Nothobranchius furzeri: one gene and its partners. The protein of the gene in region 2 interacts with the protein of the main gene of each other region in a biochemical or structural test. Links are inferred from orthologs where the notes say so. Each region holds a gene or a part of one and is shown on either strand. Other genes may lie near its edges. The genes, in order: plcg1, fgfr1a, ncam1b and anosmin-1.

Region 1 (7,629 bases), on a different chromosome or scaffold from region 2:
ACCCACCCTGGTTTTGCTAATGTCCACATGGACCAACAGAGAAGCCAGCTCCAGATCCTCGCTGTAGCTGTTCTTCAGCGGTACGGAGCGGTACCCTGGCAAAACACAGACAGGTTCAAACTCATTAAAGAAAGCATTTATTTTTCCAGAAACAAGCAAACGTATGAGTTGCTTTAACACGTACCTGTCCTGAGGCCTTGAATGGGGAACGAGGCCTGAGCCAGGAAGTTTTGGTCACTGAACATGTCGATCTCATAGACCACAAAACGCAGGAACGCAAAGGCGGAGTTTAATAAACTGAATTCAAACTTTGTCTGCCATGTAGGGTTCAGTCCATTATCAGCTAGAGAACAAACAACAAAAAGTCACATTCTGTTTGAACATTACACCCAAAAACAAACCGTGAATCTGTAATGACCCACTTCATCTGGGCTTGCTGCGGTTTGTGCCAGACACTACAAAAGATACATCTGACTAAGTTACATCAGTCAGCTGTAAAATGAAGACAGACGTGGATTTTCTCACTACAGTCACACCTGGCAGGAGGTTTCTGGGGAAAATGTGATGATTTGTGAAATATTCTGCCCGTCAATGTTATTAACATTCTAGTATTCCTATGAAACCAAGTTGCACGTGGCAGCAAACACTGCGACGACCTCTCAAGAAAACAGGAAAAACAAAAACCCTGGAGAGAAACGAAGCTGAAGATCAAAGAGCATCAGAGAAGAAAGGCTGGCTATTTACTGGAGACAGTCGAGTTAATCGGCAACACCATGAACAGGAGCAGAAGCTTCGTCATTTCTGGAGAGCAAAGATGATCGTCAGCGAGCTTGATGCCAAAACAAAATCTACCATGAACTAAAATAAACAAAAGAGCCACAAGGTTTTGTTTCCAGCTAAAACCTGATGAGCTACAATTACATCATTGAGAAATGTTTTGCCTCGTTTTCCCAGACTTCCTAATTGTTTGTGCAACTTCCTGTTTTCCAGCAGCGGCTAGGAAGTGACACAGGCGTAATGAATTCAGTAAACAAAAATATTTGTACAGTTTTAAAGTGGAATGCTTTTTAGGAGCACAGAAGAGTTCAAATTCAAGTTGGTCTTACCTTCTGAGTTAGTTTTTACTTTGGTACTGTCATAATCTGTCCCACAAATTTCTATCTCAACGAGAGGACTAACGATGCCTCGGCCGTGCTTCGGCAGGTGACGTGCACCCAGGACCTTCAGGAGAAAACAGAGGAATAAACAATAACACATGAAAATTAAGCTCCTTAGTAAATATGTAGTTACTGGTTTTGGCGCACTGACACGCTGACCACAACCCAGTTTAGACTGGGTCTAAATCACAATTATTGTTTAGGAAATAACCCATCAGACCAACACATTTAGCTGTTGTAGCCTGTGAATTTCTGCAGAACTGACATTAATTTTATGCATTTTCCCCACACTTTTGCTGCAGTCATGGAGGTTTTACATCACTGCAATGCGATTAAATATTTGCATTGTCCCGAGCCGACCTACGTGTCCAAGACTCAAACCTAAATGGTGCACTAGGAGATGTTTTGGTGCTCCCTTTCAGCTCTTTGCTCAGATGATGAATAATGTTTTTATATTGCGAGAAGTAACTGTAAAAGGGTTCAATTTCTAGATTTTGTTTGAATGCACTAAAGGAGGAAACAAGATACTGATTCTCTTAAATTAGGAGAAGAATACTTTAAAATCAGTAAGCTGGTAACATTTAATGGAGAGAAACTGAATCCAGTATCATCAGAAGCCCTTGCCTCATGCTGTCATGTCACGTGATCCAACCTTCTACTGTACCTCAATCACAAGGTCCACTTTATCAATGCCTCGTAGTGTGGTTTTGTCAAAGGGATCAAAGACATCGTCCCTCATGATAGGTGGCTGAAGGACATAGCCGCTCCGTCCGTTCACCATGAACAAGGCCTGGTTCATCTGCATGGGCTTGTCTGCACAGAGGTAAAATGCGAATGTAAAAATGATGAAAGCTCTAGTCTGCGCAGCGTATTTTGTTGTGAGAAGGAGCTACCTACCTGCTGTTTGGAAGTTAAGTGCGACCAGCTGGGACCCGCAGAGCCACATGGGTAACGGGTCATAGTTGGAGGAGTCCAGCCGTTGGCCCCGGGGATAGATCCGTGACAGCTGCAGGCGGTTGTACTGCAGGAACTTCTTGCCTTTGCATTTGTTGATGTACTTTTCTGCCTTGGTCTCGGGGAAAGACGACATGTCCCGGAAGCAGGCCTGCTCTGTGCCAATCTCTGGACACAATGAAAACAAAAGACAGATTACCCCACTTGAATGTTTCACCCATTGGGTTTGGTGAAAACAAATCTAATGGAAGATTTATCATAGAGCAGCGCCATGCTTACTGTCTTCATCAAACTGCACGGGCCTACAGTAGATGACTAGGTCTGATAACTCCATCGCTATTTTGTGCTTTCTCTCCATCAACTTCCCTTCTTCAATCTGGACCCAGAAATACAACGTAAACAAGTCAGATACACAACAGACACCCGGTGATGCTAGTAAACCACACAAGATGGACCAGTGCTGGATGTGCAGAACTGACGGAGGTAACACCATAAAACATCATATGTGCACACAGCTCTGTCACTGATTTCTAAATAAAATTCATGAGTAAAATCTGGCTTTAAAACAGCACGAGTGCTTGTACACATTTACCTTGGCCTCTGTAAACACAGTAGCTTCACGTATCCCATAAATCCATTCCTTTAGTTCTTCCAAGCTGTTGGTAGCCAAGTCCAGCACCGGGCCGACTGAAGGGTTGTTGGGCACCAGGGTGAAGACGTGAGGCCTGCTACCCCTGCCTTCATTACGTACAACTGGAGTTAAGAAAAATATCCGTTAGAACGCTCCGTTCTTTGTTGTGCAATTAACTAAACTGATGCAAGTATAATACTTTTAAAAATGTAAACAAACGCAGCTGTTTCCATATCAAAAGGAAAAATTTAAATAAATGTTATGAAGTCTACAAGAGAATCGTTCTTATATCCTGCAGCCACTAGATGGTGCTATTTGCCCAATCAACAATGCATGAAGTCAAAAAATGTGACCTAAATTATGGCTCAGGATTCAGAGTTGTTTTGATATTACTGCTTGAATTAAAGTTTTCCAACTTCAAGCTGTTTGCTAGTTTATTTGCACCTTTTCCAGTTTCCAGTCATTTAAGCTAAACCTGCCAGCTTCTTTTATATTTGGGGTGGTTTGTGAATCCCCTCCCATCTGTAGAACAGCAGCTGACAAGGAAATATTCAAATGATCAATTAAGCCCATTTTTAGATTAAATATAAATTAACTGTTAAACCTGTCCTGTATCCCCATTTCCCTCCATTTTTATATGAATCAGGCACTTTATTTTTGTAGAAATTATCTGAATGATTTTTATGTATTGTGTTGTATAAATTAAATGATAAATTGCAGTTTTAAAGTTCAAACAATAAGATAAAAAAAATTAGATTTTAATACTCTCCCTGTTTTTAAATCTATGATCAGTTTTAGTTGAGTACATATACTGTAAAAGCTCGTTAATTCTGTTGTATATACTTTGTGAGTTTTTAAGTTTTAAGCTGAATTAAGTGTTTCTGACATCCAGCAGAATGACTCAGTGTCTGACAGGAACATGTGTACACGCTGGGCTGGAGGATGTTGGTGAAGTATCAGAAGCAGACTCGTAACAAAACAGCAACAATCAAAACAAATCAAGGATTTATCATAGACCATAATGGAAACGGTTGCTGGATCTTTCTGCAGTTTAGGAACGGTTTGTGTAACTGTCTGTCTGCACTGGCGGGCCCTCTGGGAAGGTTGCAGGTTGCTCTGCAGCCTTGCAGCAAAGCTCGGCAGGAAGTAGAGAGAAAACTCACCAACTGAGCAGGATGCCAGATCCAAACTTCCTCTCAGCAGATCTCCAAGGGGGCTGAGCTCTGTTGTCTCCTGTTTAACAATCAAGTAAAAAGATGACTAAAGATTTGGTTTCTCTTGTTAAATTCTATCTAGAGAATGACAACCGCACATTTCTGTCAGGCTCAGCAGCTGTCGGACTAACGATCTCCTCCACGTAGTTTGCAGGAAACCACAACTGCTTCTTGTCTCTATAGTCACCTTTCCACCTGAGGGAAATTAGGATAATGGGTTAATAATGAGATTTAGCTTTCTATACACTGCATCTTATAAAAAAACAAATAAATGTTCACATAAATGTAATGCTATTGACTGGTGTGTAATCTACTCCTTATCCATCTTTCTCTACTGGACTAATGTAATAAATCCAAATGGAGACTTGACTTCCTCCGCAGCTCACTCACCATCCTCCTTCCTGCTTGTCTATATTGGAGATGATGGCGTTCTTGGTGAAGGAGAGCTCGTCATCTCTCTGAGCTCTATACTCGTATTTGGCTTTAGCTGTGGTCTGAAATGTACAGATATAAGATTTGGATGTCAACATTCGTGATCGATATGCACGGTTCAGTGAGTGTGTTCTGCAAGCTCACCCTAAAAACTGGCATTTGGTTGGCCTCAACGTAAAAGCCTGGATTCCTGCCCTCGTACAGCGCACCGTAATCTGGCTCCTGTTGAACAATATCCTGGCTGTTAACAGGTTCGTTTTTTCTACCCTGACTGCCTCTTTAATTGAGGAAACTAGTGGATAAGTCGTGATTTCTGTTCCTGAGATTTCATGTTTGTTTATTACATTTGGTCAACAGTGTTGACAATAGAACGGGAAACTCACAGCAGTGCCTATCTTCTCCAGTGTGTCCTCATTGATGGGGTAGCGCAGTTTCATTTTACGATACAGAGGATGCTTTTCATAGTAACTAATCAGATCTACAAGGCTGTCAAACTCCGAGTTCCCCAGCATCACAGACTGGCCTTCCTGCAGCACTCGACAGTGCTTGATCTTCCCCTCCGCCCTGTAAACATGATCGCAACGAAAGACTCATCATGAGCTACGGCAATCTCTAAGATTTTTCCAACTACCGTATTTTCCGGACTATAAGTCGCACTTTTATTCATAGTCTGGCTGGTCCTGCGACTTATATACCAAATTATGTATACCCCGCTGCTGCGGGCCGGCTCCAGTCCAGGTTTCAGCTCCTCTGCCCCGCTGGGAGGGTTTCAAACACCACCATCCTCTGCTGGAGACCATGGCGTGCTGCTGCGCCCTGATTGTTTATTCTGTTATCTTTACCAGTACTCGTCTTGCAATGTGAAATGCTTGGTCTCAGATTTTGTAAGAAAAATAATAAAATTTCCCCCCAAAATGCAACTTATAGTCCAGTGTGACTTATATGTTTTTTTCTTCTTCATTATACATTTTATGGATGGAGCGACTTATACGCCGGAAAATACGGTATAAGAAATTTAGATTTAAATGACATAAAATTACACATGATCACCAAATGAAGCAGTTATTAGTTACCTGAAGGAAATGGCAAAGGAGTTGGGTTCAGATCTCTTCCTGACGAGGAAAGCTCCGTCACGAGGAACCCTCATCAGCATGTTCTCAGCCTGGCTCCTAGACAGGTTTGCGTGGTACCACCTATAAAAAAGCATAAAGGAAAAGTAGGAAATACATTTTTTTCCTCAGCCACCTAAATAAATGTTAAAGATGAATAATAAATAAATAAATAAAATGAAGTTTTAATCTAGAACAGCTTTGGAAATCGTAGCTGATCAGGAATGATGGACATGGACATGATGGCAGCGGGACATTTTACAGTGTGGACAAAATTAGAGACAAAACAAACAAAATCCTAACAAATATTAAATGCACAATAAAGAGACGACCAAAAAACCCAACTAGTGTTACAACAAGGACCAAAACAATTAATTTAATAATGGAAAGATTTTGATTGAAAAAATCCTCGAGATTTGAGTTTTTGTACACAGATGCTCACTGATGATGTGTTTCACGGGGACAATTATTACCTCATTACTTCGCCACAACAACAGCGACTGAACAAACCACTGTGTTTGTGTTTCAGATTCCAATGGTTTTCATTCAGATATAAAACTCTTTACAAAAACTACTGTGCAGCATTTTAGATTCTCCAATTAAAGGCCAAAAAATCCAGAAAAACATGGAGCTGTGGTTTGTGGTGCGCTCTGGTCTCTTCATGTCGAGACTTGTGACAAACAAAAGCGCCTTTATGAATAGATTCTACTTGGACATGAAATAATTCAGTTTTACCAACATTCACACACTGGTAATAAAGCTGCTGAGCGTCAGCGTTTCCAGCACTAAGGACTTAATGTCTCAGCTGTGATGAGGAACTCACCTGCCTTCATACCGATCCTGTGCTAAAGAAAAATTTCCACAAGACAGAATGTCTGAACTGGTAAATTACAGGGTGCTGTACTCAGGCAGACCACCAATTACAGAGGTTCAAGTACTTCTGTAATTGTAGAGACTTTTTCACCAGCAAGTCACAAACAGTCTCGTTCTTGGATAGAGCTGAGCTGGATCAGAGTGAATCACAGGTCATCGATAGTAAAAGCTCCAAGAGACTCACTCCCTGCTCTCATGAGCGTTGGTCTGAGGCACCGGCTCGGTCAGCTTCATCTCAAACTCGTTGCAGCGCAGCGCCACCTGCTGGTAGTGAGTGATGAGGGCGTAGAGCGAATCGAACACCAGGTTGTCGGTCAGGAAGAACTTGGCGCTGCCAGCTTCCTGGCGAGAGTGTATGCGACAGTGCTGCACTCGTCCAGAACGCCTGTCACAAAAACAGGTCAGAGGGATATTGAATGAATGATCAATTTATTCAGTCATCTTAAGATAATGTGTACAATAACATGTCATACAAATAGATACAAATACCACTGCTCACTAACATATGCTTTCATTTGTATATGGTGTCTATTTGGCATCTCATGACTGAATGGGTTCAGGCAGAAGCAATAGCTTATATAATTGCCTAACCTTCTTACATGACAATTTTTCAATTTCCCGCGATGAACCAACAACCCAAATAAAAACAAAACACAAATCCACCCATCAACGTCAAATTAATACGCATCAAAAATATTTTTACTGATTAGTTTTTTTAGAACTGAAAGAGAAGTTGGTAATTTTATTTCTATTTTAGCCTCATTCCAAACTCCATACTCCCATTACAGAGATACATCTCCTTTTCATGCCCTTTTTGGCTTTTTGTAGAACAAACATACATACACCTCTAAATCATATTTACTTTCCCTCTTTGCAAAAAACATTAGTGTATTTTCTGGCAGAGCCGTGAATTTTACTCTAAACATAAATTGCATTATTTTATAATAGTATAGATCTTCTAATTTCATAATCTGTGATTATCAGTAGGAGCATAATAATTGCTCTTGTTGATAACTCGAATAGATTTCTTTTGTATAGTTTTTATTTCATGTATATATGTTTTAAAAGTTGAACCCCATATTTCTATACAATATGCCATGTATGGTTGTATTAGTGAACAGTATATTAGACGTAAGGCCTTATGGTTTAGTATGTCCTGCAGCTTATATAATAGACCCAAAGATTTGGCAATTTTTCCTTTTATATAATTTAAATGACACATATTCAGCACCTTTCCACTTGTTACCCTAAACATACTG
Region 2 (8,306 bases):
TGTGCTCAACTTCCTGTATGCTGGTCACATTGAGACATTAAGTTCCTCAGTGGTAGTCCAATGATCCGAGATCCGAGAGCACACCTTGACAGTGCTCTGTAGACGGTTTCTATACTGCAGGCTGACCAGCAGGGGATGGAAAATATCTTAGGAGGTAGAGTTGTTGCTGGCACTTTCAGTGTTGGAAGCAAATTTCAGGAGGTGATCAAAGGTGGTCCCTAGATGTTTATACTCTTCAACCAGCTCCAGCTTTCCATGAATGATGGTGGAGGCAGCGGTAACCAGTGCTCTCTGTTTGTTTGAGAAGGACACCACCATCTACTTGGTTTTGCTCACATTCAGTTCCAGGCATGCAGTGTCACACCAATCCACAAACTCCTGCAGGACCTGCCCGTGGTAAACAGTGGGGCCTGACAGAAGAGACAGGAGCACAGTGTCATCAGCATAGTTTACCAGATAACTGTTAGGCTGGGTGGATCTACAGTCTTCTGTATAGAGGATGAAGAGAGGAGACAACACACAGCCTTGGGGGAGCCAGTGGAGGTGTAAAGAAGATCTGAGAGAGTGTTGATAACCAGCGCTCTTTGTGATCAGTTAGTTTAAAAAATCCAGGATCCATAGGATTATCTGATCATCCAGGTGGAAAAGAGAGGAGATTGCCAGCCAGGATGTGAGGTTGCAGGGTGTTAAATGCTGAAGAGAAGTCAGCAAACAGGAGTCTAGCTGAAGAGTTAAGGGGTTGGATTTGGGGGTTAAACCACAAAATCAAACCACCAAATAGTTCCCGAACGCAGATAATGCTGCAGCTCACCGCTCCCCATGGGGATGGGTCAGATGTGGAGATGTAACTTCACCAGTCTGTGTTGACGACTAATGGGACTTTATATCAGGAAATAAAACTCCAAATCCTGCCGTCTGAAGCTGTGGCTCACTTCTACTTCCTGAAACTAGTGTACAGATGTTTTTCCCCAGAGAACGGCATTCGTTTCTACTAGAGACCACTGCAAATGTACTGATTAAACAAGTGTTCAACACCATTAAGAAAAGATGACGGATAAATTGCAGACATTTGAGTGAATGATGTGCACGACCCTTAGCTGTTACCACACCAAACTGTAGCTCAATATCTGTAAAACTGACTCAGCTGTGTCTATTTCAAGATTCCAAGACTGACTAAGATTAGTCAACTAGATGTAGATGTACATCCAATCACTTTTACCTCTGTCAGGAAATAACAAAACAAAAATAAATATTTAATAAAGTAGTAAAACTGCACAAGTTTGGTTTTGCAGCCAGCTGTTGACCGACAGAGTTTAATAACCCAACAAGTAACTAGTCTCACTGTTCATCTTGCTAAGTAACATGCAAATGCTAAATAAATTTCTCTCTGAGGGATATTCATTTCATCACAAGCCTCTACTCTACGGTATTGCTGAGATGCTTTATTCCCACTAAGCAGCCAGGCTTTCTTCTAATATTTTAAAGTGCTCTTTAAGTTTCATCAGGCCTTCTGAGGGGTTTTCACATAGGTCTTCTGGTCACTTTCAGCTGAGTATCCGACCATTTTCAGAGTAGTAATCTGTTTGTTTGACCACCGTTCTCTCAGCTATGAATTGTTCAGGCATCATAAGGTTGAATCTGTATGACATTACCACGTGACAAACAAGGGATCACGTTTAAAGTGATTTTTAGGTACTTTGTCATTAGCAGTCTGCCACAAAGACAGAAATGGTTTTATTCTTTTCACTGAATAAATAAAAAATACCAAAGACAGCATTGTTTCATGGTTATTTCCAAAAGATTTTTTGGGCCTAATCTTGATGACGGATCATCAGATCTTATTCTAAGTCTTTATATCTCTGGTAACACTCCTGTTGAGGTGCTTTTCTGTTGTCTTTTCAAACCATCATCAGAAGTTTGTTTAGTGGGCTGAGCTACATCCATCCTGTAACGTCATCATCCGCTTGGCTGATAGGGGATCGAGGCGGCGGGGCTCTGGTTAAAAACCAATATAACAGCAATAAAACAATGTTTGCTTTAAGTAGAAGTCAGGGAGTAAAATGGCACAACTGTAATAAAACAAAGTAAAGCAAACATTAAAAGCAAGTTGAAGTCTGCGTGCAACCCAACACTACCTAAGCATTTCATGGAGGATGAACGGCTAACACATGTCGAAACACAAATCAGTTAGTTATGCCATTCTTTAATCAAACTACAAAGCTGGGCTTTATGTGTCCCTGCAGCTTCAGCTGTCAGTCATTTGTCAACTATGACTGCAAATCAACTCTCCAGATATGAACTATGTGTTTGATCTGTCACAGCAAACTTTACATTTGTGCTGTGCTGGCTGACACACTTGAAATGCTAATGCTCTTTGAAATTCTGCCAAATCTTTATGTCTGAACATTAAAGCGCTTTTAATAGCTGCTTTGAACAGGAAGCTGATGAAAGAGCTTATTTACTTTGAGAAAATAAATATTTTAGTTTGCTGAAATCTTGCAAATGTGAATTAAGAAAATTTTGTCCATGACAGCATTAGCACAGATTTGTGAGAATTACTTGAAATGCTCATTTATAGAAATGTTTGTTTTGTTGCATGAAAACTAATCTCCTAAATTACATGTTGTGTGCTTTGAAAATCCATGTGTGTTTTATTGTTATCAATATTAGTCAATAGTCCGGGTTAGTTTCATATATAAGTGTATGTAAATCAGTACTGTTCTGATTTTGTTTTTCCCTCTTAAAACGGTACTTCCTAGTTATGGTCCTGGTGTGTGTGTGTGTGTGTGTGTGTGTGTGTGTGTGTGCGCGCGTGCGCGTGTGTGCGTGTGTGCGTGCGTGCGTTGTCCCTGTACTAGTGGTTCGCTGCTGGAGAGGCGCCGTGGATGGCAGGGGGAGCCAGGTTCCTTCAAAGCGCAGCAGACATCGTCAATTTATAAATGTGACACCTGAAGAAGGACGGAAAATAAGCTGTTTACCTTTCAAATTAAAACCTTCAGAGACGCTCATTAAAATGATGACATAAAGGAAAATATTTCAAGCTGGATTATTTTATAAACTTTTAGAATGTGGAACATAATATCCTCACACAAGCTGACATTTATTAAAGACATTGCTTGTTTTTGAACATGTTTTAGTTCTATTTAAGTTCGTTCGATCATCCCACATAACCATAATCCAGAAATAGAAATTTAGTTTTTAAAATTTGGTTTAACTTTACAATCGTGATTCTGCATGTAAAAACGTTCACATAGTAGATATGATACTGCTAGTGTGAATTATGGACTAGGAAAATGTCTGACATTTTGCCACCTTCCACAGTGATGCTTTCATGAGCTGAAGGGGAAAATCTGATTTCTTTTGCTTGTTTCAGGCTGGCTGATCACAGATTACGCAATCATATTTAATATTGACAGATTTTGATAACAAGCTATTTTTTGGCACATCTATAATTATACTCTTCAGGTTTTTTTTCTATCTTTATTGATGAAGAGGTAAAAGTACTTATTAACTTTAAGACAAAGCAACTACATTGTGGGATACGTGAAATAAAAATAAAATAATTTAGTTGAATAATAATAAAAATAATAATAATAATAATAATTCTTATAATTATTATTTATTTATATAGGCTTTTATTTTGTAGTGGTAAAGCGGAAGCTGTGCGTGTAACGTCTGCCGCGTAGCCTGAAGTCTGGAGAGAATGTTCACGCTCAGATTTTAGAGGGGGAGGTTTGCAGCTGTCTGGACTCGCGTTGTGGAAACAGCGTTTCTCCGCCAGGAATGGTCAAAACATTTCCCCAAGAGCAATTTAACAACGAACTTTTAATCAGTTTTTCATTGTGCTGTTTTCCTCTTCGGTTATTCTGTTTGACTGAGTTTAAGAACTTGATGGTAACAGTTTGGTAACTGTGGACCGTAGTTTTCATCTCGTGTGAGACGTGATAAAGAGATTACCGCAAACCAACGCACAAGCTCGCTTTTTCGGACCTGACTAGCTTAGGTAAGATGCAGTAAAGTCGTCCAGGTGGAACTCAAAGGAAAAGGTAGAAGTACGTATATGCCGAACACGTATCGACGTTTTACATCTCTTTTTTTCCCCCTTGGCTCGACATTCTTTTTTTGTATGAAAAGTTGCCGAAAATGCGCAAACTGGTTAGCTAACCGCGGAGAGCTCGGCGCGTGCGAGCTTCGTTAACGGGCCACACATTTAACCTCAGCGGATTCCCAGTTTGTCCTTTTTTCTGGATCTTTTCCTGCATCCAGTCTCCTCTCTGGACCCTGCCTAGTCTGACCCAACACTGGCTGTTTCACAGCTCCCCGCCACTAAGGTGAGCTACTAATTTTATTCCGTCACTTTTTAATTTTTGCTTCATTTACATGTTTGTTTACAAGTTTAAGGGGTTAGCCATTGTCATGTTAGTGAGTTTTATATAAGGAGTTCGTTTTTTTAAAAAGGTGCAAAAAAAGTTGTGTCCCTTAAAGTTGACAAATTATTTAATAAAATTCTGTCTTTCGATTGCAAGATGTTTATGACCGACAATGTGTTTTTGTTCAACAAGTTTATTTTTTCTTCCCTTTGAGAAATCAGAGCTTCATGTGTATAAGATTAGAACCTCCCCCATGCTCGTAAATGAAAGGGTAAGATTTAAGCAGAAGAAAAGTGTTGCCCCCAGTCCTGTTCTTTGTTAAAGCTGCCTTTTAAAAGCAAAACTGGATAGCTCCCCACATCAAGGAAAATGTCTCGAAAGCACATGACGCCATTTTCCTCTTTAATGTACTCATTTAAATTCATGCATACACACACCTTTTCTGTGTGCTTTTGTTTACACAATTACAGTCAAATGTGTCTGAAACATTTACTTTCCAGCTCCAGACAGACTAAATAATGTTGAGTCCTCACTTAACCCAGTAACATGGAAAGGCTTGTCTGATGTCCTGTAAAATAAAAAATGTTGTGCTATGAAGGGAGAGAGGGTGAAGGTGGGTGGTTAAGAAAAGGACCATATAGGGAGAAAAAGTTTTTAGTTTTCCTAAACCATAATGACAAGTGGAAGAACGTTTTGCCCTTTTAATTTACCCGACTGCTCCCGTAGCATTTGAGCTCTTTGCTTTGATTTATATAGTGTTCAAACATTAAGCAATCCATCTATTCCTACAGAATAGTGATGCACCGTTATGAAAATTTTGGGCCGATAGATATCCAATATTAAGATCACTCTTATGGCCAATAACCAATATAGTGGCATTAGTGCTTCTAAAATCAGCAGATTTTGTATAGAATGAAAATTATTAAAGCTGAATTTACATAATGTACACACAATGCACACATTGATGGTTCTGAGATGATTTAATTCACTGTTCACATGACTAAACAATTACACATCACCCCCTTCACCCTCTGAAACAGGCAAACAAATGGAAACAAGATGGAAAAAATATCGGTTGTTAATATTGGCCCGGTTTTATTTATCGGGCCGATATTGATGCCGATATATTGTCCAGCCCTACTACTAGGGTTGTCACGGTGTGAAAATTTAACCTCACGGTTATTGTGACCAAAATTATCACGTTTTCGGTATTATCGCTGTATTTTTTTTAAAGATGTTACATTTTCAGACAACTAAATGAACCCTGTATATCAGGAAAATATTGTCCTCAGTTTGTCTAAATTTTGCTTAATATTTGTTATTTTGTAATTATGTTGTTTATTTGTTTATATTTTTCCCCTCTAGTCTTTAAAATACCAATATTTGCCCATAACTTCTTATTTTTTGTCTGTTTGATGTCATTATTTTAAAAATAGATCAGATGATACTCAGTACTCAAGTAGCCTTCTAATACTTTTTTTACCCTTACTTGAGTAATAAACCCTATACCAGGAAAATATTGTCCTCGGTTTGTGTCCTTCCAGTGAGCTTTGCAGATGTGGGAAAATGTCATCAGGCAGTAATCATTGTTAAATTCATAATGATTCCCGGAGAGAGACCAACTCTTATCTGCCCCTGGGAGCCCCGTAATGCATAGCGTCATTTCAACATGGGGGTGTCCGTGTTGCAGGTATCGGGCCGGCACAATCCCCACTAACAGCTTAAATATAAATTACTGAGGGAACGTCCGGGTGCCAGTTGAGCTATTTGCCTGTGAGGCTAGACTATGGGCATAAAACGTTAACGGCTATGTACGTCCAATTAACTCTATAACTGAACCTTTAGCATAAGCTATCAACCATCACTACATTTATAAACTCATGGCGCACCTCATATAGGTGGATTTGTATGCTTGGGTGCACTTTACTAACCTGAAATGCAAAAAAAAAGAGACAGAGACATCAGAATGGAGTGGTTTCTGTGAACTGCTGCTCCCGAATAACGGTAGATGGGACACAGCGCTCCACTAGCCGTCTCGCATCCCCCCCCGCCACCTTGTGGAGAACCTCGGTATTGCACCCCACACTTTCCTATTCTTATTTTATTACTTTTACTAAATTACACCACTAAATACTTTAACAAAATTATGTGACCACACTTTGTGGGCGTCACACTCGCGACACGGTTTATATGCAGGTAGCGGCGCTGCGGCTGCTTTATATAGCGACTCATTGCATTCTCCCTCAACCCAAACCCTCGGATCACGCATTTTAGCTAAAACGCTAACGTTAACTTGCCTTGCGTTGACTGTAGAGTTGTGGGTGATGGTCACTTAGATGTGTCATGAGATTTGAAGCGTTGCTGCCTTTCACAGACACTTTTTCTGCACGTGCTGCAAACAGGATAGACGTCTTCTATCAACTGTCCCTCGGCATTCATCAAATATCCCAAAAATGCCCGTACTTCCCACATTGTCTTCTTTGAGGGATAATAAATGTCCTGAGCGCTGTCGTCTCCTCCTTTGGCCATTATTTCAGCTTTAGCTTCAGGAAAGTTTTGGTTGTAAACAACAAAGTGTGCATGTGCCGCCGGCAACTTCAGCAGATGATACGGTGGCTGGTAAGGGTCACCGTAAGGGTCACCGCGCCTACACCGCAGCCACGGTAATCCACCGAGATAATATATTTTCGTCAACCTTTTTATCGGGGTTTACCACTACACTGGTTACCATGACAACCCTACCTACTACAGAAGTGTAGTTATACAAGCACCTGAATAATTTAGGATGTTACTTATGTTGCAACATTTTAGGCAGATTTTAAATGTTACTTTTCTTGTTTGTAGACTGAACGGTCTCATCTACAGAGCGGTACATAGTGTGCTGAAAATGATTCTTTGCATTTCAGTACCTGACAACTGATATCCTGCTTTTAATGCTGCTGTAGAACCACCTTTTCAGACTTTGTGACTGTGAGGAAGGGAAGAAGTCAGAGGTGTCTGTTTTTGTGAAAACAGTAGCCTCAGGGAGATGGTCTGATGATCTTGTGGCTACTGAACTGCTACCATGTGCAGACTGGTGCTGGTGACAAGAATGGACCAAAGTGGAAAGGGTGGATAAACGGTGGTACATAATCAGGGAGCTGAGGAATTTTATGCATGGATGGCAGTGAACAGTGATTATGGTGTGGGCCGTGTTATGGGTTTAGGTCTGTAACCTTTGTCTTTGTACAATGAGAGAAGCTAAATGTGTCGTGCATGTTCTAATCAGTTTGGTATAACCTTTTATTTGTTAGTTTGGCAGATCACCAGTGAAACACTTTTATTTTTTTTAGAGCATTAGTTGGGATTCTTATCAGACATTTAATTGTGTCCCTCATTTGTTAAATCAGTAAAACCAGTAGCAAGGAAATAGGAGTTGGTGTTATTCTGGCTTTATTTTTTAAATTAACGCTGAAAAAAACTTCACATTTAGAATCAGATGTTTGGCAGCTGAAAGGAAAGAATTAAGTTAAGTTTTTATTAGAGGAAGGACTGGTTGTAGTTTATTGGGTTCTTTTAGTCTGGATAATTTAGGTTGTTGATCCAATTAATTAGAGTCTAAAATTAAAACATGCTCATTTTACCCAGCTAATGGGTGTGTATGTGCAGTCTACTTTCAATGGCTTAAAATACAAAAAAGTACTTTATGATTGGTCTAATTAGCACAAAGTTGTATCTTGAAACATATAATTGGGACAAAAATTTACCCATGCTCAAGGCTGACACGTTTTTGATTATCTCACAAAATCAATACTTTGTGTGTGTGTGTGTGTGTGCGCGCGTGCGTGCGTGCGTGCGCAAGAAATGACTCAAAACCCTGTTTTACTCATGCTCCTGTAGGAGAGAGAAATAAAAACACCCTGTCACACACTTAAAAACAAAATCCTTTCTCTTTCA
Region 3 (5,713 bases), on a different chromosome or scaffold from region 2:
TGTGGCGTTTGTCTGAATGACATTGTTGTGTGCTGCAGAGATCAGAGGATGTGGTAAGTCTCCCTCCTCCAGTTTGCTTTTCTCATCAGCATAAATCTTTCTGCAGAGGGGAAAAAAAAAAGAGACACATTAGAAATGTTGAGTTCTGCGGCGCGGCGAGACGTCCCAGCAAACAAACGGCTTGGCTGAACACATCTTTACCCAATATGTAAGACGACACCGTGTTCAGACATCTTCTTACATATTTCTTCACCACCTTGACAACAGTCGAATAAAAACACAGATAATGACATATCCCACATCCCATAAATGTTTAGCAGATACTATATTTGAATCACTTTGGCTGTACTAAAACAGAACGGAGCTTGTACGCGTTTCCAGCAGCTGCCTGCAGCTGAGAGCAAGAAAGCCCCCGCCTGTTTACTTTCTGGATGAGGTCTACGGCTTCCAGCTGGGAAAAGAGTCATCTAATCAATACGAGCACATTTCAGACATAGAATGTGTCACGTTACTATTTAGCTGCTGTTACAGGTTCACTCAGACATGACCTGACTGTCGAGCAAAGAGCCACGATGCAGCTCTGCCTCAGGAGGCTGGGGGGTGCAGCCGCTTCACAGAGAGGCTTTTAATAACAGAACACACAAAAAGAGCCCTCTGATGGCTTTAATCAGAATAGTCACAGTGACATGTCTGACATTTAAAACATGAAATCAAGGTTCTTCTGTTTGGTTTGATTTTTGCTCATAAGAGTCAAGCATCAGCTTAGATGTATCTGCTTCAGATACACTTATTAGGTATTATTGGAACTATTAATTTCTGTAATTCAGCTTATAATTTTTGCATCTGTCTGTTGCAGGGTGATGTCGATAAAACGGCACTCAGCAGTTTTTAACCAATTTCTTTAAAAGTGAGGTTCAGTGATTGTGTTGGTAGAAACTTTACTAATTCTACATGGGACAGCAAGCTGCAGACCAGAAACAGCACTTAAAGAGCAAGTCACCCCCTACCAGATTCTTACTCAACTCCCACTTCCTGTTTGAAAAATGCAACAAATGCTGTTGCCTAGCAGACCGAGAGGGCGGAGCCGCTAACAAATACACAAACTCACAACATTGTGACATCATAATGTACCATCTAACATCATAGTGTACCTCTTAGCCAATAGCGATGGCAGATTTAAATTCGAATGCAGTGCAGAGTTTTTGCCTGACGACGGTGCATCACTGACAGTTTTAGGCAGAATATTTAGATTTTAACTAAGATGCACTAAAGTGCTGAATTATTGACTATACGTGTCTACGTGTTTTGAATAAAACTTGAAGAATAACTGGCAATTGCACATTTTCAGAGGTCTTTCATATTTTATAACATGCTATTTGATATAATGGTTTACAAACACAAAGGGGTAATTTATTAGAGTACTCGATTAATCGATAAAAGATTCGATAGAGTACTCAATTACAAAAATATTTGATAGCTGCAGCCTAACATCTGTTGTTTTTCCACTTTAAACCAGGAGGAAGGAGGAGCAGGAAACTGTTTGGTGTTAGTCTCTAAGTGCGTGACTGCCTCCGTTTAAAGAAACGTTTACGTCTGACATGAGTGATAAGCTAACGGCTAGTCTGACTGGATCATTGCAGCTCTACTAATTTACATGTCAGATTGAAGAGTCTTTACACTGCTGCCCATTTACATTACTTGGTTATTTACATTGTTATGAAACATTTGCAGGACAAATTAATTTTAGCCTATCACCCCAAGTGGATGGCTGCCATGTTGAAAACTGTAAACCAGAGGAGTTCAAGCAGATATTTCATAAACCTACACACTGGCATTAATGTATAACAGTGCAGTGGAAAAGGGAAGGTAGTTTGTAGAATAACATTTGGCAGTGATCCACCTTAGCTACACTAATACTAGCCATTAGCTTATCAGTCTTGCCAGATTTAAACTTTATTTCTCTAAACGGAGGTCATTCAGGAATATGGTAATTATTTGTACACAAATGCTCTAAAATCTCTTTAATTCCCCCCAAAACAACAAGTTAGATGTGTTTAATTATTTACAAGGTCATTTCTGTGACCTTTTTTTTAAACTTATTTATCTAAACAGAAACTTTAATTTCTCAGCCTCTGAAGCACCTCGCTCTTACCTTCCCTAATATCTACAGAAGCTTAATGGTTTGTGACTATCATCACTACAGCTTGAGAACATAGATGTGAGGCCACTATCAGAACTTTACCAGACCTTCGCGGCATGCGTGTATCTCTATTTCACCGGGCTGGACCGAAAGGACCATTTTCTGGGCCAGTAGAGTTGCTGGGTGGTGCTTGTGGTTAACTCATGCTGATTGGAACTTTATCGTCACCTTACAACCGGCATTTGTAAAACTGAAAATGTCGAATGGTCGAGCAGAATGAAAGGAAAAGACAATACGTAACACTGTTTAAAATCGGTTTCTAAACTCTCAAAACCGAAAAACGCCACGGAAATCCTCCCATAAAACCGCCATTTACGGAGCTTCGTGGTCTCTACAGAGCGTCGTTAAAAAACGCCTTTTCTTCAGGTCACTGAACACTTCTTACTACGTCCAACAAGTGCTCTCCCGGTCCACTGAAGGGACTAAATTCATGTTTACAATGTCCGTGGACACCTTTTGGTGCTGATCAGCGCCAAGTTGTGATTTATTGCCATTTTGGCAAAGTCATGAAAGGGCCGACTTTGTAAAGAGGCACAACAGAAATTTCCCAGAACTCCTGTATTGGAAACGGCGCTACAGTGTTGAAGCGGTTTGAGTTAAACACCAGAAGCGGTTTTCCAGATAATCTACTGAAGCAAATAAAGATAAAAGCTATATTTTAGTTGTTTATTGAAACCTCTTTTAAAACATGACCTCCATGTCTGAAAAGGTGCTCGTCTTTGTTGGATGTGACTGTTTCTGGAAAATGGAACCCACAATGGAAAACTGTCGCACACGAGCAAAAAAATGACAACCATCACATCGCCTCTATCTGGAGCGTTCCCCTAAAAGTTCCCCCTCATGTCATTACCACAGTTTACTGTTACAGTAGCTGATATCGTGTGGTCAATGGCAAGATGCGGTGGTGAATGAATGGGCATACACATTACACACACTCACACACACACACACAGATAAACCTCTAGAGGGAGCCGTACTCATCGTTGACAGGAGGAGCGGTCTTGACCAGAGTCTCTGAAGCCTCCACAACTGGGCCTGAGGGGGGGAGGTCTGTTCCGTCTCCACTGGGCTGGGAGGGGTCTGCGGGCGGGCTCTCTAAGCTAATCAGATCTGAGAGGGGTCGAGGGTGTCTTCCTGTGCCGTTTGTCAGCTCCAACTCTAAATTAGCGTTTTTGAGCTCTGTGTCTGCAGGCGTTATGTCGTACAGGTCTGGCGCTGGCGTCGGGACTTCGTCGGAAACTGCAGAAACTATCTGAGTGATCGGTAACAGCGAGGAAGCATCTGGATCTTCAGCAGCCCCGGTATCATCTGAGGGAACACCTCTAACGGGTTTTGTTGCGGGTATGTTGTTGTCAGCCGATGACTCAGTGGGTTTGACTGTGTCAAAGGCGGCAAAGCTAGGCGAGGAGGAATCAGGAGCAGGGTTATAATCTGGGTTAGGATTAGGTTGTGGAGGTAGCCTAGTGACAGGTGGATTTGGAGCAGGTGTCTTCATGTCTGGAGTAGAAGGGGAAGATGTAGAAGACACAGCAAGGGGGGAAACTGGGGGGCTGTTTTTAGCATTCATAGCTGCTAGTTTTGGAGAGTGTTTGCGTTTTGGTGGGATCGGCGTTCCAGGTTTTTGAGGTCTAGGCTGTTCGGGAGTTCGAGGAGGGGTTATCTTCTCCTGCTCCTCCTGTGTTTTATAACCCCTTTCTTCAAGCAAGGGGGCCATTTTAGCTTCTACAGCGGTGGAGGAGATGACCGGTGCTGGCGGCGCCGCGTTAGACTCTGGGGTCGGGGCCGGAGCAGCGAGAGGGGTGGGTGAGGGTTCGTTGGCCAGGGTGGACAGGCTGCATGTGAGGGTAGTGGTCTCGCTAGAGGGGCTCTCCTGGCCAGGGTCGTTTGTTGCGGTGGCTGTGTCAGAGTTGGTGGCTACAGAGGAGGGGGTGTCCAGTGCCAGAGAAGCCACCAGCCTGAGAGAGCAGGGAGAGAACAGAGACACACAGACTAGACACCGGGGTGACTGTGACAGAGGAAGGGTGGCCCGGACCAGAGCATGCAGAGGGATTAGTTGGCTTCAGAAACTCAAACAAACTGAGACAAAGCAACTTAAAAAGAGCAGCTGTTAAGCCTAGTGAGAAAAAGAAAAGAAAAAGGGCGTCATGCTGTGAGTGAACATTAAAGGATACATCCCATACACACACCAACATGGAGTACACCAACTAATGTTCTACGAAAGGCACCAGCCTTCCAGCAGGAAACTACAGCACCACAAAGAACCACCTACAAGGGTTAAACAGTACCAGTGTCAGCCTCAGACACACTCCTTATGGGGCAGGGCTAGCTGTGGTTGGTAAATGCCTTTGTGAATTGACCACACTAAGGAGGAACAAAGTCTTAGACTGGTATTGCTTCAACCTTCATATAATGAGACAGAAAATCTTCCAAGCTGAAGAAGAAACACAAAGTACAATAATTCCTCTGATGGGGAATAAAAACAGAAAAGCAACAGGATTTTTTGGACTCCACTCGAGAATGATAACTTAAAGACGAACAAGGTTCAGATTTCATAAAGGTTAAATAACACTGATTCTTCAAGTGGAGTGCAATGTACAACAGCTAAGGACACTTGAGCGTTGAAAGGCCGAGGGCCGTTTCTCCTGCTCTACTCACTCTGGCTTTGTGAGAGGAGTCGTTTCATTGGGTTCTATGGGTCCTGCTGCATTGTGATTGGCTGTGCACTCGTCCTCTGTTCTGACTTCCACTATCGGCTCTTTGGACTCATCTTTACTGTAGGATTGAGACAACAGTGAAGATTAAAAGGGAACCAGTAAGCTAATGGTGGACTGGCTACGTGTCTGAGACTCACACAAAAGCTGCTTTTCCCTCCTCCAGGTTGTGTCCCTTCGTCCCCGTGCCCGATTTGCCACAGAGGCACATGATGAGGCCACATTTGTTGACAAAGTAGCATGTGACGTCCACAGCTAGCAGCAGGAGCACAAACACCACCACAAGGATCCCCGCCCACAGCATGGTGCCCATGGGGAGCACTCCCTCTTCACCCAAATCTGCCAGACAAGAGACGAGCTAAAGAGACCCGGAGCAGAACACACGTCTATAAAACACATAAAATACTACGGTGAAAAACTTACCTGCTACAGAGCGATTCATGTTAGAGCGCTGATTTGTTGTTCAGTTAAATTATGTGATCAAATAATAATTTACCAAGGTAAAGCTTGCTTATGCAGACTGTGTCTGAAAACCGCATAAGTGACTTTTTACTTAAATTTAATGATTTATAAAGAAAATCTGGACTGAAAAAGATTGCGCCTTTAAGCAAACTTTGGACCTGGCGTAAGTAGTTTGGAGTTGGGCAGACTGGTTGCTCCCTACAAAAGCTAAAGAGGGGCACAGTCTTTGTTTACAATGAGAGAGCTCGAGGGGTTGCTAAGTCTGCACCGGCTATCTCCGTTGAGCTGGGATTTGTAATTTGTCACCGGTCGACAAAACGCCACGGCATCTTTGTGTTGT
Region 4 (7,629 bases), on a different chromosome or scaffold from region 2:
TGTCTGCCTTTAATAACCACGGTAGACCAGGACAGCCACGCAAGCACATTCACAGCCTTGAAGTTGCGTTTATCGATTCAGTTCTCCAGTTTTATTCGTAAAAGCGTGATTAAAAAAAAAGTCTCCGGCAACAAAAGAGCACACGGGTCTCACTGTCTTCGCGGAGCATTTCAACAGAGACTTGAGTAAAAAGACAGATCGCCTAGACATTCATGCACACTGCTGCTGAATTAGTTTTTAAAATGCGTAGCAGATGTGGCACGGAGGAGATAGAGGTGGGAGACACCAGACACTGTTGACACATGTACTACTGGTTTCCACTTTGGCACCTCGGGGCTTTGAAAGCAGCCCGCTGGTTGAGGAATGTCAAAACACACACAGTCAATAAGAGGAACTCATCAGGTTCACGCTGACGGTGGAATGCTGGAAGTCCAGCACGGTGAAGAAGCCCTGGGAGGTTCTGATAACACGGCTCTCTCACAGGAACCCCTGAAGTCCATCGTCTCATCACCATCCCTCCCTCAGCTCCAGATGTGTTCCTAATAAGCTCGGCTTTCCCACAGGCTGAGTCGGAGACACGATCGGTACAGCGGCGGGGCTTTGAAAGGAGTCTCAAGTGACAATGTGGTAACATACGAATGTCAGAATCTTAAGTTTTTTATTTCTTCTTTGTTTTTTGTTTTTTTCATGCTGCAGGCTCAAAGCTGGGTAGATCTGGAGGGACTTCAGCAGAACGGCAGCTACACGGTGGAGCTGCAGGCGGTCACTTACTGGGGACAGGTGCGCCTGAAGAGCTCCAAGGCCTCCCTCCACTTCGGAACCACCCAGGATAACGAATCAGGTAAACGCCTCCTTCAGATCGGTGCTTTACAGCTTTCTGGCTTTTGTCACCTGTATAAATAAGTTTGCATTTTGTGTTATGTCAGGTTTCTAAAATATCCCCAAGCTTCATCGTGCTTTTTTTTTTATCTCGAGGGCTCAGTAAATTTCATCCACTGTCATCAGGTTGTCATTAATTCTCTGCCTTTGATTAGAAGCTACAACAGGAACATTTTCAGTTTTAAAAGAACAAGAATACCAAAAACAAAATAACTTTGCATTTTATAATCTGTCTTTTCTGTAATAGTTTAAAATTCAAGAAACCTGACAATTTGACGACTTTACAATCGGACCTTTTTTTTTCTTCTCAGAGATGAGAGCAAATTATAATAATGCAATTTTATCTGGAAAAGTGTCTCCCTTTTGCCAAAATAATTGCCTCCTCTGACTCACGACCCCGAGACAATGGCTAAAAGATGACATGAAGCAAAGATGGACCTATTAGTGTGACATTGTACAGCACAAGACATCCTAAAAGGACTGAATCATGTTTAGTTGATCATTAAAAAAGGCACAAAAGGCTGATTTTTGTTGCATGCAGAATCATGCACCACAGAAATCTGGATGTAGCTGCAGACCTGCAAATGCAGACCACTACAGTGTAATCCCATCCATTTTTCATTCATCCAGTTTGTGCATTTAGCTTCTCATGAGAGTTGAGTTTCCGACAAATTTTGAAAGGGCAAATAACCATCACAGGCATTTCAGAGAGTTGGGACAGCCAGGGAACGCTGTCAGCACGTCCGCAGCGAGCCTCGGAGAAACAAGAGCGTGTTTTTTTTGTTGTATGTGTGACTCTAGAGGGAATTGAACCTCCGACCTTTACTGTGCTGTATGTTTGCCCGCTGAGCTACAGCACATTCATGCATACAGAACGGACCTTCCTTTGAGCTGTCTGCTGATCTTTCACAGAAAGAATCAAGTCCGTTTCCGTGCCGGAGAGTGTGTCGTAACCCCGTTGTGTCTTAGCCACAGCAAACGTTTCTCCTTTCTCTTCTCAGCAAAAGTGGTGCTCAAGTCAAAGAAGGGTAAGATATCCCCTCTCGGTTCGAACTTGGCCAAACGCCCCTCCGGCCCTCTTGAAGTGGGCACGCCTTTCTACCAGGACAGTCAGCTGCAGGTCCGCGTCTACTGGAAGAAACGAGGAGGTAAGCGCTCTGCTTTTCAGCTTTGTCTGATTTGAATTAGCACCCCGTTATGCCCATCAATCACTATGACTCATGCACCATAATAAGATGTTATGACTAATTCCCACTTGCTTAAACAATGGCGGACTCCTCTTCTAAATGTGGTGTCAGATGATGTAAATAAAGCAATGGGTCTTCGTGAGGGCTTGGTAATGTGAGCTCTTGGCAGTGCGGTTAAAACCTGCACATGGCCCGGTAGAGAGGAGCCACCGTTTAGCAGAGAACAATAAACACACGCAACTCAGCTGCGCTTGATAGATCTTTGCATTAGCACCAAAGCGGCCCTTCGGTTGAACAAGGCTGATGTCATAGGGAGTAGACGTGATGGTGGGTTGCAGCGCCACATGGGGTTAAAGACCATGCCATGTCGCAGCAGCAGCCATTCCCCAAAAACGTGCTGCTCATACCAGAGTGAAAAATGGAAACCGTGGTCTCGGGGTAGCCTGTCAAGTTCCATTCGCTGGTCTGTGTTACGTTAGAAGTATATGTCATCGCCCAAGCCAAACTCCACATCCTGGAGTCAAGAATGCAATCCCTGGATTGAGAAGCCTGGTGAGACACCAACTGCTGAATCAGAGAGAGGAGAGCACAGAGGGGGATGGAGTTGGCGCAGAGCTGTTGGCAAGTTTGGCCTGAACGCCGTGAGCTGAGTGATGCTGACAAGGATCAAGCGTGGCTGGGGAATCACTGTGTTGCAGAGCAGAGTTAATCCAGGTCCTGCTTCATTTTCGGCCTCTCGTATTGTGGTCCTGTTCTTTGGCGTATCTGCCACAGCCTCTCATTAGTCTGAGGGATGGCCTTGCTTTAGCTAATGTAAACATACAGACACGCAGATGGCCCAGAGAGCTGGAGTCTCTGGACATCTGGTTTGTGTGACTGAGAGAGGGGACAGGTTAACTGAACCATGATTAAACTCTCACTCATTGTGTCTGTGATCCAAAGCAGCCTGGCCTCTGGATTTTGTCCAGCAGACAAAAGAGAACGATATTGTACACCAGCGCTGATAATGTATCTTTGTCTGTCTAGTGCTCTGACAATACACAGCAGCTTGGCGGCGGTGCGACTTGTGAAGCTCGCCTCTAGTCATGATTTATCGAACGCTGCCGAGGTTGTGTTCCCCACCTGATTTCCATGTCCTTTTTCATGTTTTACATAGCACTTCCCCTCTCCGTCAGACCCGGCTTAGCCTATCTTGTTTTTTTTTTTTCCAGTTTCCCGGTTCCCTGTAATTCCTCTCTTCTGCTTCCAATGAGCTCAAGGGCTTCAAGTGCCAGATCTGTGTCTCAGCCTTCAAAGAACCCCTTTTATCTCCCCACCACAAGCCCGGCTCCCGCTGAGGGGTGAACATAGCACAATTCAATTATTAATCAGAGGCGTATTTCAAAAAAATCCAAGGAACACAGCTGAATTAATTATAAATCTTGTAAGACAAGAGGAGGGCGATGGGCAGATAAACACTGTGGGGGAGTTTGTGAGGAGCTACTGTACAAAAATAAAGGTTGCAGCTGAGATGACCATCCCACACATGGTCAACTTTTCTGTTACTCGTGAGAATTGGGAGGCTTTTCTTTATGGAATTTGATGTTCAATGACAAAAGAAACGGTTTAGGACTCAGGAAAATGTTAATAAGTTCATATAAATACAGAGAATGTATTACTCAGTTTACATTGCATTACATTTCTCTGAGTATGGCACGTTGTTCATTGCTCCGATTGATCCTAGAGCTGACTTCAAGAGACGCGTGCAGAGGCAGTTTGAAAGACAACCGTAGATTTCAATGGCTTGTGGCCAGACCAGGAACTTTGCCCAGAAGAATGGTCTGCTTTACATGGATATACAGAAACTTCTCCACAACAACCACAAAAGACTCCCAAGGGGGCAATACACGGTGTTAGGAACTGGGGCGTGTAAACTTTTCATCAGGGAATTTCTGGTATTTTATTGTGTTATGGTGATTTGAAATGAGTTTGTACATTTTTTTCACAATAAATTGCTTTGCAACATTCCTGACCATGAGTAAAAAAAAAAATCATATTCTTTGAGAAATGGACAAAAAATAAATAAACCAATAACCTCACCAGGGTATCGGCTCAAATGTATTTACGTATGAAGGATGGCTTGTCGGGCTAACCAATGTCCCCAACCAAAAGAAGTAGGCCAAGTAAATAGCAGAGGTGTGACCAAGTCACTGCTTTGCAAGTCATAAGTAAGTCACAAGTCTTTCCAGTCAAGTCTTGAGTCAAGTTCAAGTCAAAGACAATCAAGTCCAAGTCGAGACCAAAGTCAGTGATGTGGAAGTCCAAGTCAAGTCCAAGTAATTAACTTTGAATTTTCAAGTCATAATCAAGTCATCTGTTCAACTTCAGTTTTATGACGATGATAATAAGTGAATTCTAGAAATAAAGCCTCTTAAAGCTTCATTTATTTTAACAAACAGAATGATTAACAAGCAGAATGTGCAACAGAAACTGATTATAAACAAAGTGCTGCTGCATTTAGCAGTAAATCAAACCCAGAACAAATAATGATTTATGATTTTTGTCCATGTCGGGCCACTTTTGTGCTAAAATATCAAATATGCTCAAGTCATCATTAAGTCCACAAATGCAAGTCGATTCAATTCACATGTCACTGGCGTTCAAGTCTGAGTCAAGTCGTAAGTCTTTATAGATTTTATCAAGTCAAGTCAGAAGTCATAAAAATAATGACTCGAGTCTGACTCATGTCTAAATCGTGTAACTCGAGTCCACACCTCTGGAAAGTAGGCAACCAAAGTAGGCTTTGGAACACTGAATCCGTAAGGATCACGTTCCAGGCCTTCAGTACTCAATAGAGAAGGTTCAGTTTACAACAAAATAAGTAACGCATTAACTGATGGCTGTTTCCTGACCTGAAAAGCCCTTCGCTGCCAGCGTTTGAGTGTTTTTAATGTTTTTTGAAGAGCCACAGAACGTTGTGCTCTATGATGATGTCAATGCTAAAACTACCAAAACAAAGAGGAGACTCACCTTACGTCAGGAAGAATTCGTGTTTTTAGTGTGATCCGTTCTTTCATAATCCGTTGTTGAATTGTGATCGGCAGAAGTTTTCCGGTTTGCTCCTCACTTTTTTTACAGCAGCGGCCCAAAACGATCTCCTAACACATGGATTTTCTGCTTCCTGATCACATGTGACATAGATGGATGAAGATCAGCTTTAGAGCTGTGATGTTTATTCTCATGGTGCAGGGGCTCGTTCCGACGCCCGCCCAGGGAAAAAAATGCAAATGGCGACTTTAGTGTCACTCTGTGAAAGCACGAGGGACTGCTCTCGATATAAATTGAGGTTATTAAACGTGTTGGATTGTCTTCGTCTGATTTTTAAGGCCAAACGAGTGTGGAGCGTTACATGTAGCCAATCAGAATGCAAGGTAATCGAAATACAGTACACCGTACGCTCCTTCTCCATCATGTTTTTACTTAGGTGTTGATCATGTTTAATCTCAAGAGGTTTTGTGAGATTTCTGACCAGGTTTGTGTGTGTAGAGTGATTTTTATTGTGACATGTGTGGCCTCTCATGCTTTGAAAATCATCTGACAATTTTAAAATCCTGCCGTGTAAAGGAGATCACCAGACTAACAAAGCGTTTGATCTCTAGAGTCAGCAGAAACGTGCCAATGAGCCAAGCACGATGACTTGGAGAGCTGCATAAACCTGAATGTGTTTTGTGTTGAGTCTCAAAAACGGTGTTGACGTTAAGGTTTACAAAACGATGTTTGCATAAACCACTATGAGGGTTGCACTGTTTTTAGATGGCAGTAGTGCCTCATTCTGGCCACTCAGACAGGTTCACAGGATGTTGTTAGGTCCTCCTGAACAGAGGGAGTCTGGACACTGTTCTTTGGGGGTGGACTGGAGAAAGACAGAGACGTTTCTGCAGCAGTCACTTACACGAGTCTCAGCAGAACATGGAGGGAATAAATGTGTCTTTAGACTTAACGACAAGTCTTGGACTTATATTGTTCCCTAAACAGTAATAAATCCTAATGCAACAACATCAGCACTCCCATCTCAGATGCTCAGTCATCAAGAGTCAGACTGTGTCTGGATCCCAGAGCAGATGATCTCTTCTTCTACAGCCTCTCCGAAATGGTGACTCTCCTCTACACAGCCCAGACTATGTTCACTCCGCTCTGAGCTCGACTTTGTATTTGTGTTTCTTTTCTTTAGCCCCTTTAAGTGCTGAGTTCTGTGAAGTCTACTCCAGGTTTAGTGAGTTTATCAATAAATCTATTGATTAAAGAGCAAGTCACCCCCAAACCAACTTTTTTTGCTGATAAACGACATGAACGAGTGTCTAATCGTGCTGCAGACATGTGTAGTCAATCATTTGGAGCTTCAGTGCATTTTAGTTAAATTTTAAATATTCTGCCTAAAACTGGCAGTGTTGCGCCGTCGTCAGGTAAAAACTCTGCACTGTATTTGAATTTAAATCTGCCACCGCTATTGGCTAAGAGGTATGCTATGATGTAAACTGGTACGTTATGATGTCACAATGCCATTGTTAGCCTGTGTGTTTGTGTATTTGTTAGCAGCTCCGCCCTCTCGGTAGGCGCCCTCTCCGCCTCTGCCAGGCAACAGTATTTGTTGCAATTTTTCAAACATTAAGTGGGAGTGAAGTCTCTTGTAGGGGGTGACTTGCTCTTTAACATTTAACCATTTTTTTTCGCTGCGTTACATATTCCATTCGTGTGTGGGACCTCTTGCAGAGGTTCCATCTGGAGGCACTGATGATGCAAACAAACGTTTTCTTCAAACACCAATGAGATCAAGGCCTGCAAGATGCAAGGCCAAGCTTGAGAGGCAAAAAGAGCTGCTTGGGAAAGATGTAGGGGTTAGCTTAAGGAAGGCCCTGCAGAAAGCTGAGGCCAAACTCGTGAACTTGAAAGCCACTAATCTGACCAAAGAGATGCAAAGAAATCCTTGGAGGAAACCTCTGCTCCTCAAAGAAGGGCTGGCTTTCACATTCAGATGGTAAAACCCAGAAGCAGTAGAGTGAGAGGACCCTGCTGACGCCACACAAACGATGACAAAAGAAGCACCTGAACGTACCTGAACATCTGAAGCAGACACACCCAAGAGTGTGTGTGTTTCTACAACCAGGAGGCAATAGTTTGAACTTTATATCATGCAAAACTGACTTGACCTGCAGCAGATAAAAAGCTGTTTTCTGGTCTTCCTGGTGCTTTTGGACCACGAGGGAGTTTCCCTTCTCATTCGTTTTCATACATTGGCCATTTGCAGTCCCTATAAATATATTTATCTGGCTTTTTTAGTGTTTGCATCAGCTCTAGGTGCCTTATTGGAATAGATAGGGAGGCTCAAAGGATGTAAGGGAATTAATTAATCAATACACAAGTGTTTAGTTGATTTCATGAGCCAATTGCATGCTTTTTCATCATTTGCACGATTAAAACTATTTTCATGGCTAAATGAGAGGCTGCTTAACTATCTCCATTGTCTGGAGAGAGGTTCTTGAACATTCGAAGCACAAAGTCTGTTGCATCATTCTCACCTCTTTCA

Evidence for each region.
Region 1: the proteins of fgfr1a (region 2) and plcg1 form a complex in vitro, tested with the Homo sapiens proteins (4 studies listed by BioGRID and IntAct, with this or other methods). The link is inferred for Nothobranchius furzeri from reciprocal best matches to the Homo sapiens genes FGFR1 and PLCG1.
Region 3: the proteins of fgfr1a (region 2) and ncam1b form a complex in vitro, tested with the Homo sapiens proteins (2 studies listed by BioGRID and IntAct). The link is inferred for Nothobranchius furzeri from reciprocal best matches to the Homo sapiens genes FGFR1 and NCAM1.
Region 4: the proteins of fgfr1a (region 2) and anosmin-1 form a complex in vitro, tested with the Homo sapiens proteins (3 studies listed by BioGRID and IntAct, with this or other methods). The link is inferred for Nothobranchius furzeri from reciprocal best matches to the Homo sapiens genes FGFR1 and ANOS1.

The regions. Positions count from the first base shown.
Region 1 is NC_091755.1:60,794,533-60,802,161, reverse strand, and holds part of plcg1 (1-phosphatidylinositol 4,5-bisphosphate phosphodiesterase gamma-1), read right to left. Parts: intron 6,756-7,629; coding exon 6,555-6,755; intron 5,582-6,554; coding exon 5,462-5,581; intron 4,953-5,461; coding exon 4,772-4,952; intron 4,611-4,771; coding exon 4,533-4,610; intron 4,451-4,532; coding exon 4,347-4,450; intron 4,152-4,346; coding exon 4,055-4,151; intron 3,976-4,054; coding exon 3,906-3,975; intron 2,865-3,905; coding exon 2,704-2,864; intron 2,488-2,703; coding exon 2,391-2,487; intron 2,280-2,390; coding exon 2,055-2,279; intron 1,971-2,054; coding exon 1,822-1,970; intron 1,222-1,821; coding exon 1,107-1,221; intron 344-1,106; coding exon 185-343; intron 96-184; coding exon 7-95; intron 1-6. UniProt on the Homo sapiens protein: Mediates the production of the second messenger molecules diacylglycerol (DAG) and inositol 1,4,5-trisphosphate (IP3). Plays an important role in the regulation of intracellular signaling cascades.
Region 2 is NC_091757.1:34,197,673-34,205,978, forward strand, and holds the start of fgfr1a (fibroblast growth factor receptor 1-A), read left to right. Parts: upstream 1-3,736; 5' UTR 3,737-4,331; intron 4,332-8,306. UniProt on the Homo sapiens protein: Tyrosine-protein kinase that acts as a cell-surface receptor for fibroblast growth factors and plays an essential role in the regulation of embryonic development, cell proliferation, differentiation and migration.
Region 3 is NC_091753.1:48,898,373-48,904,085, forward strand, and holds part of ncam1b (neural cell adhesion molecule 1b), read right to left. Parts: intron 5,251-5,713; coding exon 5,052-5,250; intron 4,973-5,051; coding exon 4,856-4,972; intron 4,156-4,855; coding exon 3,178-4,155; coding exon of another isoform or gene 3,162-3,177; exon of another isoform or gene 3,160-3,161; intron 101-3,159; coding exon 1-100.
Region 4 is NC_091754.1:23,438,108-23,445,736, forward strand, and holds part of anosmin-1, read left to right. Parts: intron 1-696; coding exon 697-841; intron 842-1,880; coding exon 1,881-2,027; intron 2,028-7,629. UniProt on the Homo sapiens protein: Has a dual branch-promoting and guidance activity, which may play an important role in the patterning of mitral and tufted cell collaterals to the olfactory cortex. Chemoattractant for fetal olfactory epithelial cells.